Linked DNA regions of Kluyveromyces lactis. The protein of the gene in region 4 purifies or fractionates together with the protein of the main gene of each other region. This does not show direct contact. Links are inferred from orthologs where the notes say so. Each region holds a gene or a part of one and is shown on either strand. Other genes may lie near its edges.

Region 1 (3,092 bases), on a different chromosome or scaffold from region 4:
GAAATAATTGATGAACCCATTTTGTTCCAAGGATTTCATGCCATTGGCTAGGATATCATCCAAATCATCGCCTTCATTCTTCAATGAAACATCTCTGATAGCAATAGTGAATTCGTTTCCCTGTAGATCTCCCAAGTTCAATGGCTCATCTTCGAATTTGTAGCCACCTAGAACGACACCCTTCAAGCCCTTGTTTAGTCCGTTTAATCTGTCCAAACCAATTTTGGATAAAGACATTCTTTGACAAGTGACAGCCCTACGATCCTTTGTTCCAGAAAATCTGATCAACCTTGTTGGAATTCTCATGAATTTTGATAAAGTATTAGCGACATCCATAGTATCTTTGTTTTCCTTATAGACAGTAAAATGAATAAACGATTTTGATGGACCATAACCCCAGTTTTCGACACCGTTTGCATCCTTAGTTTGTTCGATCAATTCTTCTTTGCTAACACGTGTTTGGCGAGAAGCCATTCCAACAATGAAATGGTTTGAATCCGTCGTTACAGATTCTAACTTGTTGTCGAAAGCTCTACGTAGCAGTTGATGTATTTTAGTCCTTTCAAGTTTATCATCGAATGCCTTCGATGTTTCAATCTTTTTATTTGAGCGGTACACAGCTTCAATTTTTTGAACATCCTCTTCTCCCAAAAGTTCAACAAGTTCATTTCTAATTCCTTCATCCACCTTAAATCCTTGGCGTTTCTCAAGTTCTTCTTTTTGCGATTGCTCGATTTGTTCTCTCGTTGGCTTTGGCTTCTTTGGCATATTAAAACCTTTGTCAGTCAAATGCACAACTTCGCCTTGCTTGGTGATTTCATTGACTAAAAAGTCAGTGTACCTTTGTTTGATCTGACCATTGAAACCAACATTATCCATTGATAAGTAATGCGTGATACCAACATCCTTTTCAGTGATGTTGTTATTGTTTATACCTTCATTTATACCTTCACCAACTTTTGTCCTCTTAATATCTTCTTGCTGGGCAGCAGCTTCGGACTCTCTTTTCAAAGATTGGTCTGACATTATACCAATACTATACTTTAACACGAGAGTACTAATACCTGGTACTTGTTATAAGCAATTAAGAAGCGCAGCTTCCAGATTTGAACAACTGACTTCTGCTTCAATGTGATGAGATGAGATGAGATGAGCTCGAAATTTTTCAAGAAACGAAAAGAACCGTTTTGTATGATGGATATTATGAAAAGTTAACGAAGTGACATATACAAAGATGAAAGAGAGTTACACGACTTAATCGAACTGATAGACAACTAATAAGTACCAATGAATACATCCAGCCGTAGCTCTGAACCTTCGAAGGTAGCAGATGATGTTTACGTTCAAACTCGGTGGAATAATGAATTTAAACATGCTGATTATTTACCTGAGTCGTTACAGAAGTGCCTGGATCAAGAAAAGACTGTTTTAGAAAGGTACAGTGAATTAGTTGAGGTGTCGAAAACTGTTGCAAACGAAAGCTCTCAAGCATTAGTCAAACATACCACAAAACCAGGCGACCAACTAGTACGAAGAGTGTTCCAACAGCCACATCAGCAGATTTCATTGATGGAACGTTATGAAAAGACTCGAAGTTATAAACCGCAATGGCATGCACCATGGAAACTCAGTAAGGTAATAAATGGTCATACTGGATGGGTAAGATGTGTATGCGTGGACCCCGTTGACAATGAATGGTTTGCTACTGGTAGCAACGATACAACCATTAAAATCTGGGATTTAGCTGCGGGAAAGTTGAAAATTACTCTAATCGGGCATGTAATGAGTGTTCGAGATATTGCTATCTCAAAGAGACATCCTTATATGTTCTCAGCAAGCGAAGATAAACTTGTAAAATGTTGGGATCTAGAAAGAAATACTGCAATTAGGGATTTTCACGGTCATTTATCTGGCGTGCATACCGTTGATGTTCATCCGAGCCTTGATATAATAGCTACTGCTGGTCGTGATGCTGTAGTAAGGTTGTGGGATATACGATCAAGATCTGAGATAATGGTTCTGCCCGGTCATAAAAGCCCTATAAATAAAGTCAAATGCCTTCCCGTTGACCCACAAATAATCAGTTGTTCCGGGGATGCAACAGTTAGACTTTGGGATATCATTGCAGGGAAGGCAAGCAAAGTTTTAACGCACCATAGTAGAAACATCAGAGACTTGACGCTACACCCAGCAGAGTTTAGCTTTGCCAGTGTATCTACGAACGACGTCAGATCCTGGAAATTGCCCGAAGGACAGCTATTAACCAACTTTCAATCCCAGAACACTGGGATTTTGAATACCGTATCAATTAATCACGATAATGTACTATTAGCTGGTGGAGATGACGGTACTTTGTGCTTTTACGATTACAAAACAGGACACAAATACCAAAGTATGATGACAACTGAAGTTGCTGGCTCACTTGAAAGTGAGCGATCGATTTTATGCAGCACCTTTGATGTCACAGGAACAAGACTCATCACAGGGGAAGGAGACAAAAGCATCAAAATATGGAAGCAAGTCCCTGATGCTACAGAAGATACATTCCCTGGCTTGCCGTGGAATCCCACGTTAATATCTCAAAGATTCTAATCTAGCTGGTGTCTACTTGCAGCGACTTATGTAGAAGTTTGTAGTTTAACTCTATTAGGTCCCCGTTTTCCATCTATCTAGAATATTTCAGTCTGCATTAATTGCGAGGTTTGCTCTAACTGTCATATGATTACAGTCACGTAGTCAAGGACAGGGAACGTCAGGTTTTCTTGTATGTTTGTTCAAGCATGGTGTTTGCTTTAATACGGTAATCTGAATAAATTAACTGAAATTTAGCATCTTCAAAATATTTGAACTTATTAGTTACGCAATAAACCAAATCCAAAAACAGAGCACCTCTGTAAGAGGAACTAGTAAGGCAAGGCAACTGTTTAACAAATATTTTGGGCGAGCTCGCTAATACATGAGTCACGGCGAAGAAAAGGAACCTGGGATTCCCCAGAAGGTTGACAGCATCGATGAGATTTTCGTTGGATGCAAGTCATGGGTACTAAAAGATGGTCAAGATCGTCTTGCTGAAATTCTATCCATTAACAGCA
Region 2 (4,300 bases), on a different chromosome or scaffold from region 4:
TCTTCGCTAAAAGCAGTTCCCATGAAAGCGTAATTCCATATCGATGACGAAGGTACCAAGAAATTGCCCATAATGCGTTCAGATAATAAAATCTGTGCAGTCTCGCTAAATGAAGCTTCAAACCCTTCTGGTGAAGGGTCCGTTATGTCTTTCGATTGTAAGCCCCAGTTGAAACCCGTAGTGCTTAACGTATATCCTGTAATTGATACGGCACCTGGGATTAGATTTATGCACAAATCAACAGCACTTTCGTTATGATCTGAAAACATTTTGGAATGAGTGATCACTTCAGATGGTGACATGAATTTGGAATCGACTTTTTGGGTATGTATCCATCCCAACAGTTCCATGTCGTTGAGATATTTGGAAGATGAGGGGGGAGGAGATATGCGAACAGTTGCGGAACTGCCGAGTTGAGGGACAAGTGCTATCGTCTTAATTTCCTTCACATTAGGGTGATCTTTTACAGGTGACCCGTACATATACCCTGCAATTTGGACATCGACATCAGCTATTGTGACAAACTTCTTCAACAAGTTCCGTGGGAATACGAGGACATCTTTATCTTCTACAAAATCTTCGGCAGTAACATATATGTTCTTAAGCTTCAAATGTAGCAATGAATTGGAGATTGCATTTGACCGCCAAGCATTTTTCGAACTGAAAGATTGGGACTCATAATTGCTGGATGACACCACTGTAATTTCTTCACCTTGAGCATTGATTGTTTTTAGCTTCATGGCTGCCGTGGCAGACTGCGACGACTCATCAGTTTTCTGATTTCTTGCAGCCTCCAATTCTGCCATCTTCTGCCTCTGAACAGATGGAGCTCTAATGTTCTGTCCTAAAATCAAATTCTTGATTTCAGTTTGAGTCAAAGAAGCAATGTTTACATTGTATTTTTGACCATACTCTAAGAGAATTAGATCACGCATCTTCGTCTCAATTTCAATCCACTGATCATCAGTAAAAGAAGGCCATAGATGATTAGCTCTCGTTGGGATTGTAGGATCCTCTAATAGAATCATTTTGGCTTTTTCTTCATTGGTTTTGAGCGCTCTTAATAGCAATATCAATCTAGAGAAAGCAGTGTAGGCAGAAACTCGAGTTAGCCAGTCATCATAAATGTTGAACAAAACCATCTGCGGTTCTGTAGCGCTTAAAACAACATCATTTAATTTTTCTATGTTCAAAACAGAAGAAAAAGGTAATCTGAGCTCAGTTGGACGAATCGAAATGTTTGGGAAATCTAACATGTGTACTTCCATAGGGTCCATCATAGCTTTTCTAGTAACTATAATTTGTTTAGGTTGTTCTTCTTTGGGTAACGATCTAACCAATGCACTTACTTCTTCTGCGGTTTTCCATTTTGCCAATTGAGCCAATCTGCTCTGCCCCGCCCACACCGAAGTGTGAATTATTTTCAAATATAGTTCACCTGTTTTCGGATTTAAAGTAAACACGCATCCGTTGATAGGCTTAGTAGCCACATTGCCTTCATAAGTTCTATGAACAGTGACCCGGTAAACATTCGTATCATCGATAAAGAATTTTGTGTCATTGGAAAATAGCTCTGCGTAGTTGGATGAGTTCAAAAATGGCTCTTGAACTTGAGATTGATATATCTGAAGACCTTTCCTGATACGCTCCCTCAAAACGTAAAGTGCTGGATTAGCTTTCATTATTGTTTTCATACCGTTGTGTATCAAGGGCTTCAATCCCTCAAACCACGTTCCATAGGAGTCGTAAATATTATAGGCCAAGTCAATACCGATCATAATACCAGTAGGAGACGGGTACAAGCTCACGTTATCTGTGGTGTAATCTAAAAATTTCGCACGGACATATCTTGATATATCATGAGAATCATAGTCACCATATCTAAGCTGCACATCGATCCACATTTTGTCAGTTGTGGTAGCGTCGAAAGAATCTTTCGTCTGATGCAACAATGTTGGTCTGCTAACCTTCCATTTGTAAATACTGTTCAATGTGATGTCAGCAGCAGACGAATTCATCTTATACGACTTACGTGGATGAATTGATTCTTTTTGAACAGATTCAATCTGTAGTATATCCATTTGGCCGTCCAGAATTTGACAGATGTCGAAAACCACACTTTCGTGGATTTTTTGCCATAGATGTGCTCGGAAAATTTGAATTAAAGATATCTTCAATGTTGGAATTTTACCGTGCAAGAATATTCCTGTTAAATCCAATTGCACCAAAAACCCAACGTAGACGTTCGCTCTATTAATCGTCGGAGACCACCATAACGTAAACCTACGATTAGGGATCTGACTCAAACCAGTTCTTTGTGCATGAGTAAGTTTCTTGAACTGCATTGAATCTTCAAAACCAGAGGCTTTCTCCCAGAAAAGTCCTTCCCATGATTTAAAGCCAGTTCCTTTAAATAATGTGTGCTCAAGAATTGTTTCGATACCCCCTAAGGCCTGAATGACATCCGTACGATAGGCATTCAAGTTCCATAATTTACCATCATGACGATTATTTGTCCACCAGAAAGCATTACTACGTTCCACTGAATACTCTTTGAATTGTCGCCTAATCCTGTGACCCTTATCATAGGCTAGCGTATGCCTATCTTTTTGGAATATGGTACTGATCCGCGGTATACCTCTATCCCAAGAACCCTCTAATTCTTCAAATGCCAACCTACGATTTTGTTTTATGGCTTCTTGTCTTTTAGCAGCATAATCCGCCCATACTCTCTGTGAGTCCAAAAATTCGTTCTCCCAGGTAGTAATGTATCGGAAAATTGTTGGTATCATCTTCTCATCTTCGTGGGACATCCCTGCCCTGAAATGTGTTATTCCAGTATCTGTGTGTTTTGACCACCTCAAGTCAGAAGCGGGAATTAAAATGTGCGATGCGCTGAGCATTCCCAAACCACCTAACTCTTTAGGTGTATAAAACACTGCTGGAGGGAACCTTGTTGGCATTTTAGAATTTAAGCCGAGTTTTACTCTATTTTGAACTCTAGTCTCAGATTTCACGAGTAAGTCGAGTAACGGTTCTGTCGTGACGATAGATTCTCTAAAATAGGTAAACAAAGCGATTAGTGCAGTATTCCATTTGCCCACAATTTTTGTAAAAGTTGTGGAGCCGGAACCCATCAAAATACTTTGAATACGACCTCTAAACTCATCAATAGCTTCTTGTGATACCTGTAAAAACGCTTTGGCAGTCCGTTCTTTTGTGGAGTCCAACACCAAATCCCATACACCCTCATCATGAGAAATGACATCTTCCATCCGAGATTTCGGTAGTATTCTCACCTCAAAACCGCACATAGTGAAAAGTAAATTAGGATTATTCTTGCTATAAACTGAAGAAAGAGTATTCTCCCACGTTATGTTAACAAGTGATTTTGGTACCCTAGATGTAAGTTCCCAGAAAACAGCACGACCTAGATTAACATCGTGTCTGATTAACCTCATGCGGGCGTCTCTAGGCCAGCATTTCTTGTTGTTATAACCAACAGAATTTTCAAAATTTGGATCGGGGTTTTCCATCAAATAGTCTTGGATAAGCTCATCAGACTCAGATTCTTCAAAGTGGAATAAAATATGGATTTTGTCAAGATAGCGTGAGTAGAGGCGAATTGGGCTCTTCGTTTCAGTAGCTTTATCTGGAAATTGCAAGAATTCAGATGGTTCGTTTGGAGGGCCTGCTAGTTCCTGTGCCCTTTCATGTCCCAAGATGAGAATATCAATCATTAAACCATAAAATTGATAAACAAATGGTGCAAATTGTAATCCCCTTATTAGACCATATTTGTTAACATGATTCATATCCTTAAAGATCAAACTGACATTATTCTTTGCAGTAATGTAATCCGCTAATGTCGGATCGATAATTAACCTTAGGAGCCTGTTTATTAGTGTCAAATCCATCTTTTCAACGAATTCTTGTAAATCAGTTTGCAACAATACGGTCGATTGCCCTTTGCTGATGTCCCATACAGAATCTAAGTTGTTAATGCCTTGACACCATTTGTAAACAAGAAGTGGCGGGATTTCTGAGTCACCTGGCTTTATCCAACTAGGGAAAAGCTGCCTTCTGTCAGCTTCATACCATAGATACTGGTCAAGATATGCATCGGTAATTTTCTCCAACGGATCAACGTTATAGACTGGAGATATGTGTTGATAATGATCCATCATTGTTAGTTGTATTGGCTTGAATAATCTTTGGGTTAGCAATAGTTTTTTAATTCTATTCAAGGTATCATGAGGATTGTCATATGCCTCTTCAATTAAAGCTAACTCTTCACGTT
Region 3 (3,324 bases), on a different chromosome or scaffold from region 4:
GGTTGGTTCTTCTTCTTCAGCCACAGACTTTCTTCTGACCGCTGGAGCAGTTTCTAGTGTAGACCATCCTTCCTCATCGGTAGTAATTTTTGGTTTCAAATGCTTGAATTTTGGTTTAGCATGGTGGTGAGAAGATCTTCTTCTGAAGTGAGAAAATTCTTCTTCATGTGCTTCTTGGATTTCTTTCACTTTTTCAATTATAGCGTTGAATTCATCAACGTCGAAGTTTGGTTTAACTGGTTCGGTTGGTCTTAATTGTAAAAGTTCTTCTTCTGTGTACCTGATCATCGTGGCCCGGGAATTAGTATTTGCTTTGTGATGGCTTCGAAAGAGTTCCAGTAGAAATAAAGGGGAGAATTGTTATGTCCACACAGAGCAATTGCTAACTGTCTCATATTGTTCTTAAAGTTTGCAATTTCGTAAATCTTTTCATCTTTAAGTTCATAATTTGAAAATTTCATGATTATGGAAGGAAGACTCAAAAAGAAGGGTCCGGGTAATCATTGACTACGCTGGGCAAGTTTGATCTGTTCCGCAAGAGATTGTGTCTCTTCTTGCATAGTCTTATGGTCGTTCCTGTACTTCATGTAGTCAGTGTAGTATTGGTATGCTAAGCCTGACACTGTCGGATGTAGTTTTTCTTCAAAATCTTGTGAAAGTTGTGAAACAGCCTCTCTGTGAGACTTGACGGAATCCTCAAGCGCTGTTCGCAGTTCATGCACTTTTCGTTCCATGCCGAGCAGTTCGTGCTCCGTAGCCGGTGTTATAGTTTTTAAGCTAGTTTCCAACTTGGGATGTAAGACAGTGCTGGGCACTTCGGTGGTGGATGCAGAATTAATGATCTCTTCTAAGTAATTGTTTACTTCCGTGGAATTGTAAATGGGGTTACCATTCTCCTTTGCTGAGATTATACGATTCAATTCACGGTCAATTTCATTCTTTGGATCTACTATCGGACTGGGTACCTGTAATTCTGTTTTTATTTGGAATACTGTCGGTATGTATTCCATTATTTCCATTGCCTTGTTTTCCGATTGATGTTCCGTGGAAGATATTAAGGCTTCTAGGGGATATTTACCATTAACATACGAACTTTCAGTATTAAAAGCATCAGTGGATTCCATTTCTTCATCTAAATCATCCAATACAATTTCAAAATCGTTCTTAGGAGAAGGCAATGATTCAAATAAATGAAGTATAGATGTTGTTTTGTTTATCTTCCGTTTTGATCCTTTTAAAGTAGCAGGAGTAAGCTCAAGTTTAGGTTTCTTGTACTCATCAGTTAGTACAGAATCTAATTTTGTTACTGATGACGTTATTTGTTCGCCTTGCCTTCTCTTTTGTGGTATGGTTTTCTTTTCATCAGATTTCCTGTCAAGTAAACCTTTCCTTTCTACCAATTTCTCAAAACTCTTGAGTAGCTTCTCAGTCTGTTCATCCTCCTTTGAGGTATCGTATATACCCGGTAGTGGTTGCTGTTCATACGCAATATCCTCGTTGTAATCCATCTGCGAAGAATATTTCTTCCTGGGAGCTTTGATTTTACTATCAACGCCCGCTTGTTTCAACTCTCTACGCTTCTGTAAGAATGCAACACGCTTACTTTCTTCTAGCATACGTTCTCTTATCTTACGAGTAGCCTTTTTACCCTGAGTGTTTAATAGCCTGGCACGAGCTTCCGCCAACATTTCTCTCTCCTCGTCAAGTAGCTCATCTTTATCAGCCTTGGCTGGTAAGCTTTCGTTATTTGGGTTGATCTCACCGATCTGTACCCCTGTAGTTGCTGCAAGCTCTAAATCATCCTTATCAATCGCCAGGAGGATATTATATCTGTCGATACATGTTTGAGCAGGTCTACCCATCATTTCTCCGATGCTTTTCCATTGGTTTGGAATTCTTTTCGCTAAATCTAGTAGTTTATCATCTTCCTGCTGGCTGAATGGTTTGAAGTTTAGACTGGGATTCAAAAATTCATTCCAACGAGATTGACATTGCCTGGCATTCTTCTTCTGTAGAAGCGAAGCTACTTTACTCCATGCATGTGTTCCATATTTTTGAACAGCCGCCTTTAATATTTGATCCTCAAGGTTCGTCCAAATACCACCTTTGACATAAATCGGAACAGGAGCCATCGTACGTGGTTACCGCCTTTGATTAACTTCCCTTTGAACCAACGTTACAGCTTTAGCTGATACTATTATTAATTAGTTTCCTATGTTTCCACCAAGTATATGTCAATTTTATTTTCAATCCAATCCCAAAATTGGATTATCTAGATTTACACAGTGTTATAAAGAAATAAAACAATGTCAGCGAATAAAGAGGGAACTGTATCCGAACACATAGTTTACATATTGCTTTACTCGCAAGAGCATAGGTACCTTTTTCGTATTATTTCAGCAATGCTGGATACTGGTTTCTTTTGTGACTTCCTCCAGTCAGTACTTCGGTCTTTAAACTACCTATATTTTATTAGAATACAACAAACTCTGAAATTCTTTCAGAAAACACATGACAGATAATGAGAAAGTATATGTTGTTCTTCTCTTATTAAATAATGATCATCATTAACATTATTATGTTCTTTTTCAGCTATAGTTTTTCTAGTTCCCTTGTTTATATAATGATTGGCTCTCTATTACGCAATAAAAACTGGAAAAGGGTTTTTTGTTCGAAGACATTTTTTAAACTTAGAAATTGCATACTATATTGAAATCGCCAACACTATTGATGGTTCGACGATAAAACCCATCCAAAAGACTCCAACGATCCGTGTCAATGGGCTTTCTCTTCACCCCTAAGCACCAGAAATTGGTGAATCAGTGTTATCCACCAGGCCGAACTCCCGATAAGAAGCCAAAAGGGTCAGAGACTTCGTACTTGTTATATTATGTTAATTCGAGACGTCCAAAATTGGAAAAGGTCAGCAGTTACCTTGTGAAGAGGTCGACAACGGATTTGAACAGAAGACGTTCCGGTAATGTCTCTGTCACTCTAGAGCTACTGGCTAAAATCGTCGAGAATTGTAATGAAAACATGAATATTTTCATCAAAGATTTCATCCACATTATGACTTTAGTGTTGAACAACAACAATTTTAACAATGATCCAACTATTGTTGGTTTGATTGAAAGAGTTTTAGAAGCTATTTGTAACCATTTGGATGGGTCTCTTGTAAGTGGGGACTCTGAGTTTTTAGAATTGTTCAAAAACTTCGTAACCCTGTACTTCAAAGTTGCTAACACTAAACTTAATGACACAGATTTGGTTTTGAAAGGTTGCTTAGACTTTTCAAAGATCTCAAACTTGGGAAGCATTCACCAA
Region 4 (2,326 bases):
GACAAAGGTTTGGAACAATTCAAAAATTTGACTATCTGGTGTAGAAATGAATGAATGAATGAAAATTTACACGACAAAATAAAATCTAAAATTATACGAAGGGCATATCATATAAATCGATTGCCTGTTAAAACAATGAAAAGACTCTAAAAATTCAAATTATTTCTCAGTTCATGGCATCTTTTAAAACACCGTTTTACTTTTCTTCCATTTAAACCTTCCTTTCTCTTTCAGTGTTAAGATAATTGTACGGACATTCACTTCATCAGGGGAGAAACATATTATCTTACTTCTTTTATTATGCATCAATAAAAGCCCCGACAAGATTATATTGGGGCAGAACGTTGACTATCTTGTTAAATTACACTTTTACCTTTGAGCCAGAAAGTTGCAGTTTTGTATATTATTTTATTAGTTCTAAGTTTTATAGTTCATGTTTAACAATCGTGTACTAGTACTAAAATGTAATATAGCTATGATACACCAAGCGAAATTATTAATCAATTCTGACTTCTTGACTGCTCGTTTCCTTCTAGTATAGACCTGCGATAGTCTTCACATTTACTGTCTATGGTGTCATCAGACAAATCATCCGGTCCATCCTCTAGTTTATCACGATACTCAGAAACTAATAATTCGATCTGCCTTTTCGCTTTGTGGGATATTACGCTTTCATCTTTAGCAGGTTGTATTTGTTGCTGCTGTTGCTGTTGCTGTTGTTCTTTATCATGTGTAGTTAATCTAGGGTCCTTTTTCCTGTTCGTAAATGCTAACGATTGTTGAACGTAACCGGAGGTGCTGCTTCCCTTGGCACTAGATAAACCGATGCCGTTATATGACATTATTATATAGAGACACGAGCAGCTGGGTTGGTATATTCCCTTCAGCAGCCAAGAGTGTAATGGTTTGAAGTGACAGTGATACTGCAGCGTGTAGCTTAACTCATTCCATTTCATCAATTCGTTAAAACTGATATAGCTATTATTAATAATGTGATGTATGGGTGTTTAACTCTGGAATACTTAAATACACGCATACATATCGTTACTAGACAGAGGGACAGTAGAGTGAAGACATCCACTTTCAAACTTGAAACTGAAGTATGACATACTTATCATCTGACCAACTGATGGAACTAAACGTAGAATCCAGTGTGCGCGTACCAATAGGTTTCATCAAGGATCCGTTTAGCCATGCTAGGTTCCGTAATAAATTCGTAATCAAATCATGGTTTTCGATTGTATTGGCAATGTAGAATACCATTAGATCGCATTGAAAATTATCGTGGTCTAAGAATTCCCATATTTTGAGTATGAGTTGCCGAAGGTCCTGTGAGTACGCAGATGTGGAGACATGGTGTAGATAAATCGATGCAATTTTCCCCAGATCGGATGATAGAAGGATTTTACCGAACAGCTGGAAAGTTGGGTCCAAGATAGTAAAATAGTTAGAACCAATATCATAAACCTTCGAATCCATTGATCTCCCACGCACCAATTGTTTCAAGAGTTTACTGACATTTTTCACAAGATACGTCGTCCAAAGTTTATAATCTTGCGGTTTAAACTGGTAAAACTTGGATTCGAATAGAAATAAGATATCCCAATACTGTTCCAACTGAAATTTACACAATCCGGTGCTACGCCAGCCGAAGAGTAACATCTGACCATTCTCTGTTCTTAAACTGGTAAAAATTTGGTGATATTAGAAATTCATCCGAATTATTATCTGTCGTTGTGGAAGAAGGTAGTACGTCTATGTTATCGTGTCTTTTATTTTTCGTCAAGTCAATAAGTGGGAAGTCGATAGCCAAGGGGGAAAACTCATCTAGTAAACCCGATACATAGCTTTCTATCCTCTGTTGTCTCTTGTATAGCTCGTTTCTATGTATTACTCTACTCATTTTGGAGAGTGATGCGGGCAAAATTTATGATATAACTGACTGAAGGAGTCGGGAACAGCGTTTTGATAACCAACCAGGTGAAATATTGTTTAACAAACCGATAAGCTGGTATGAGCTAGTCATAGTCATTCCTTTATTTACCATTACATAACGCACTTATATGATACACCTTTGCATATCACATGGACGGTGTTTGAATTGTGATTTTCAATTGTGAGGGTTAAGATGAAGGAGGGTAATGCACGGATAAACCCGGGTAACCATTCACACACCGCAAGTCATGTGATGAGCTAGCTCCGGGGTTCCTGCCGCTAGAAATGCCGGTAAACAAAATGACCAAAATCCTGCACGTCTTTTCTGAGGGCAAAGAGACCTGAAAGAAGTGTTCGAATTTGGATGTGCCCTGCTAGATGTTTCTATTAA

Evidence for each region.
Region 1: the proteins of CWC21 (region 4) and PRP46 purify together in Saccharomyces cerevisiae (affinity purification with mass spectrometry, with the first as the bait; 3 studies listed by BioGRID). This does not show direct contact. The link is inferred for Kluyveromyces lactis from reciprocal best matches to the Saccharomyces cerevisiae genes CWC21 and PRP46.
Region 2: the proteins of CWC21 (region 4) and PRP8 purify together in Saccharomyces cerevisiae (affinity purification with mass spectrometry; 3 studies listed by BioGRID, with this or other methods). This does not show direct contact. The link is inferred for Kluyveromyces lactis from reciprocal best matches to the Saccharomyces cerevisiae genes CWC21 and PRP8.
Region 3: the proteins of CWC21 (region 4) and CEF1 purify together in Saccharomyces cerevisiae (affinity purification with mass spectrometry; 4 studies listed by BioGRID, with this or other methods). This does not show direct contact. The link is inferred for Kluyveromyces lactis from reciprocal best matches to the Saccharomyces cerevisiae genes CWC21 and CEF1.

Annotation. Positions count from the first base shown.
Region 1 is NC_006042.1:1,034,208-1,037,299, reverse strand, and holds PRP46 (mRNA splicing protein PRP46), read left to right. Parts: upstream 1-1,287; coding exon 1,288-2,592; downstream 2,593-3,092. Other genes in the region: pseudouridine synthase PUS7, read right to left, coding at 1-1,026; NuA4 histone acetyltransferase complex catalytic subunit ESA1, read left to right, coding at 2,957-3,092. UniProt on the Saccharomyces cerevisiae protein: Involved in pre-mRNA splicing. May also be required for cell cycle progression at G2/M.
Region 2 is NC_006037.1:471,930-476,229, reverse strand, and holds part of PRP8 (U4/U6-U5 snRNP complex subunit PRP8), read right to left. Parts: coding exon 1-4,300. UniProt on the Saccharomyces cerevisiae protein: Functions as a scaffold that mediates the ordered assembly of spliceosomal proteins and snRNAs. Required for association of BRR2 with the spliceosomal U5 snRNP, and the subsequent assembly of the U4/U6-U5 tri-snRNP complex.
Region 3 is NC_006039.1:634,851-638,174, forward strand, and holds CEF1 (Cef1p), read right to left. Parts: upstream 2,133-3,324; coding exon 501-2,132; downstream 1-500. Other genes in the region: CAF20 (Caf20p), read right to left, coding at 1-288; EFR3 (Efr3p), read left to right, coding at 2,779-3,324. UniProt on the Saccharomyces cerevisiae protein: Involved in pre-mRNA splicing and cell cycle control.
Region 4 is NC_006038.1:878,805-881,130, reverse strand, and holds CWC21 (U2-type spliceosomal complex subunit CWC21), read right to left. Parts: upstream 957-2,326; coding exon 501-956; downstream 1-500. Other genes in the region: KLLA0_B10076g (uncharacterized protein), read left to right, coding at 1-54; OAZ1 (Oaz1p), read right to left, coding at 1,084-1,662. UniProt on the Saccharomyces cerevisiae protein: Involved in pre-mRNA splicing. May function at or prior to the first catalytic step of splicing at the catalytic center of the spliceosome, together with ISY1. May do so by stabilizing the catalytic center or the position of the RNA substrate.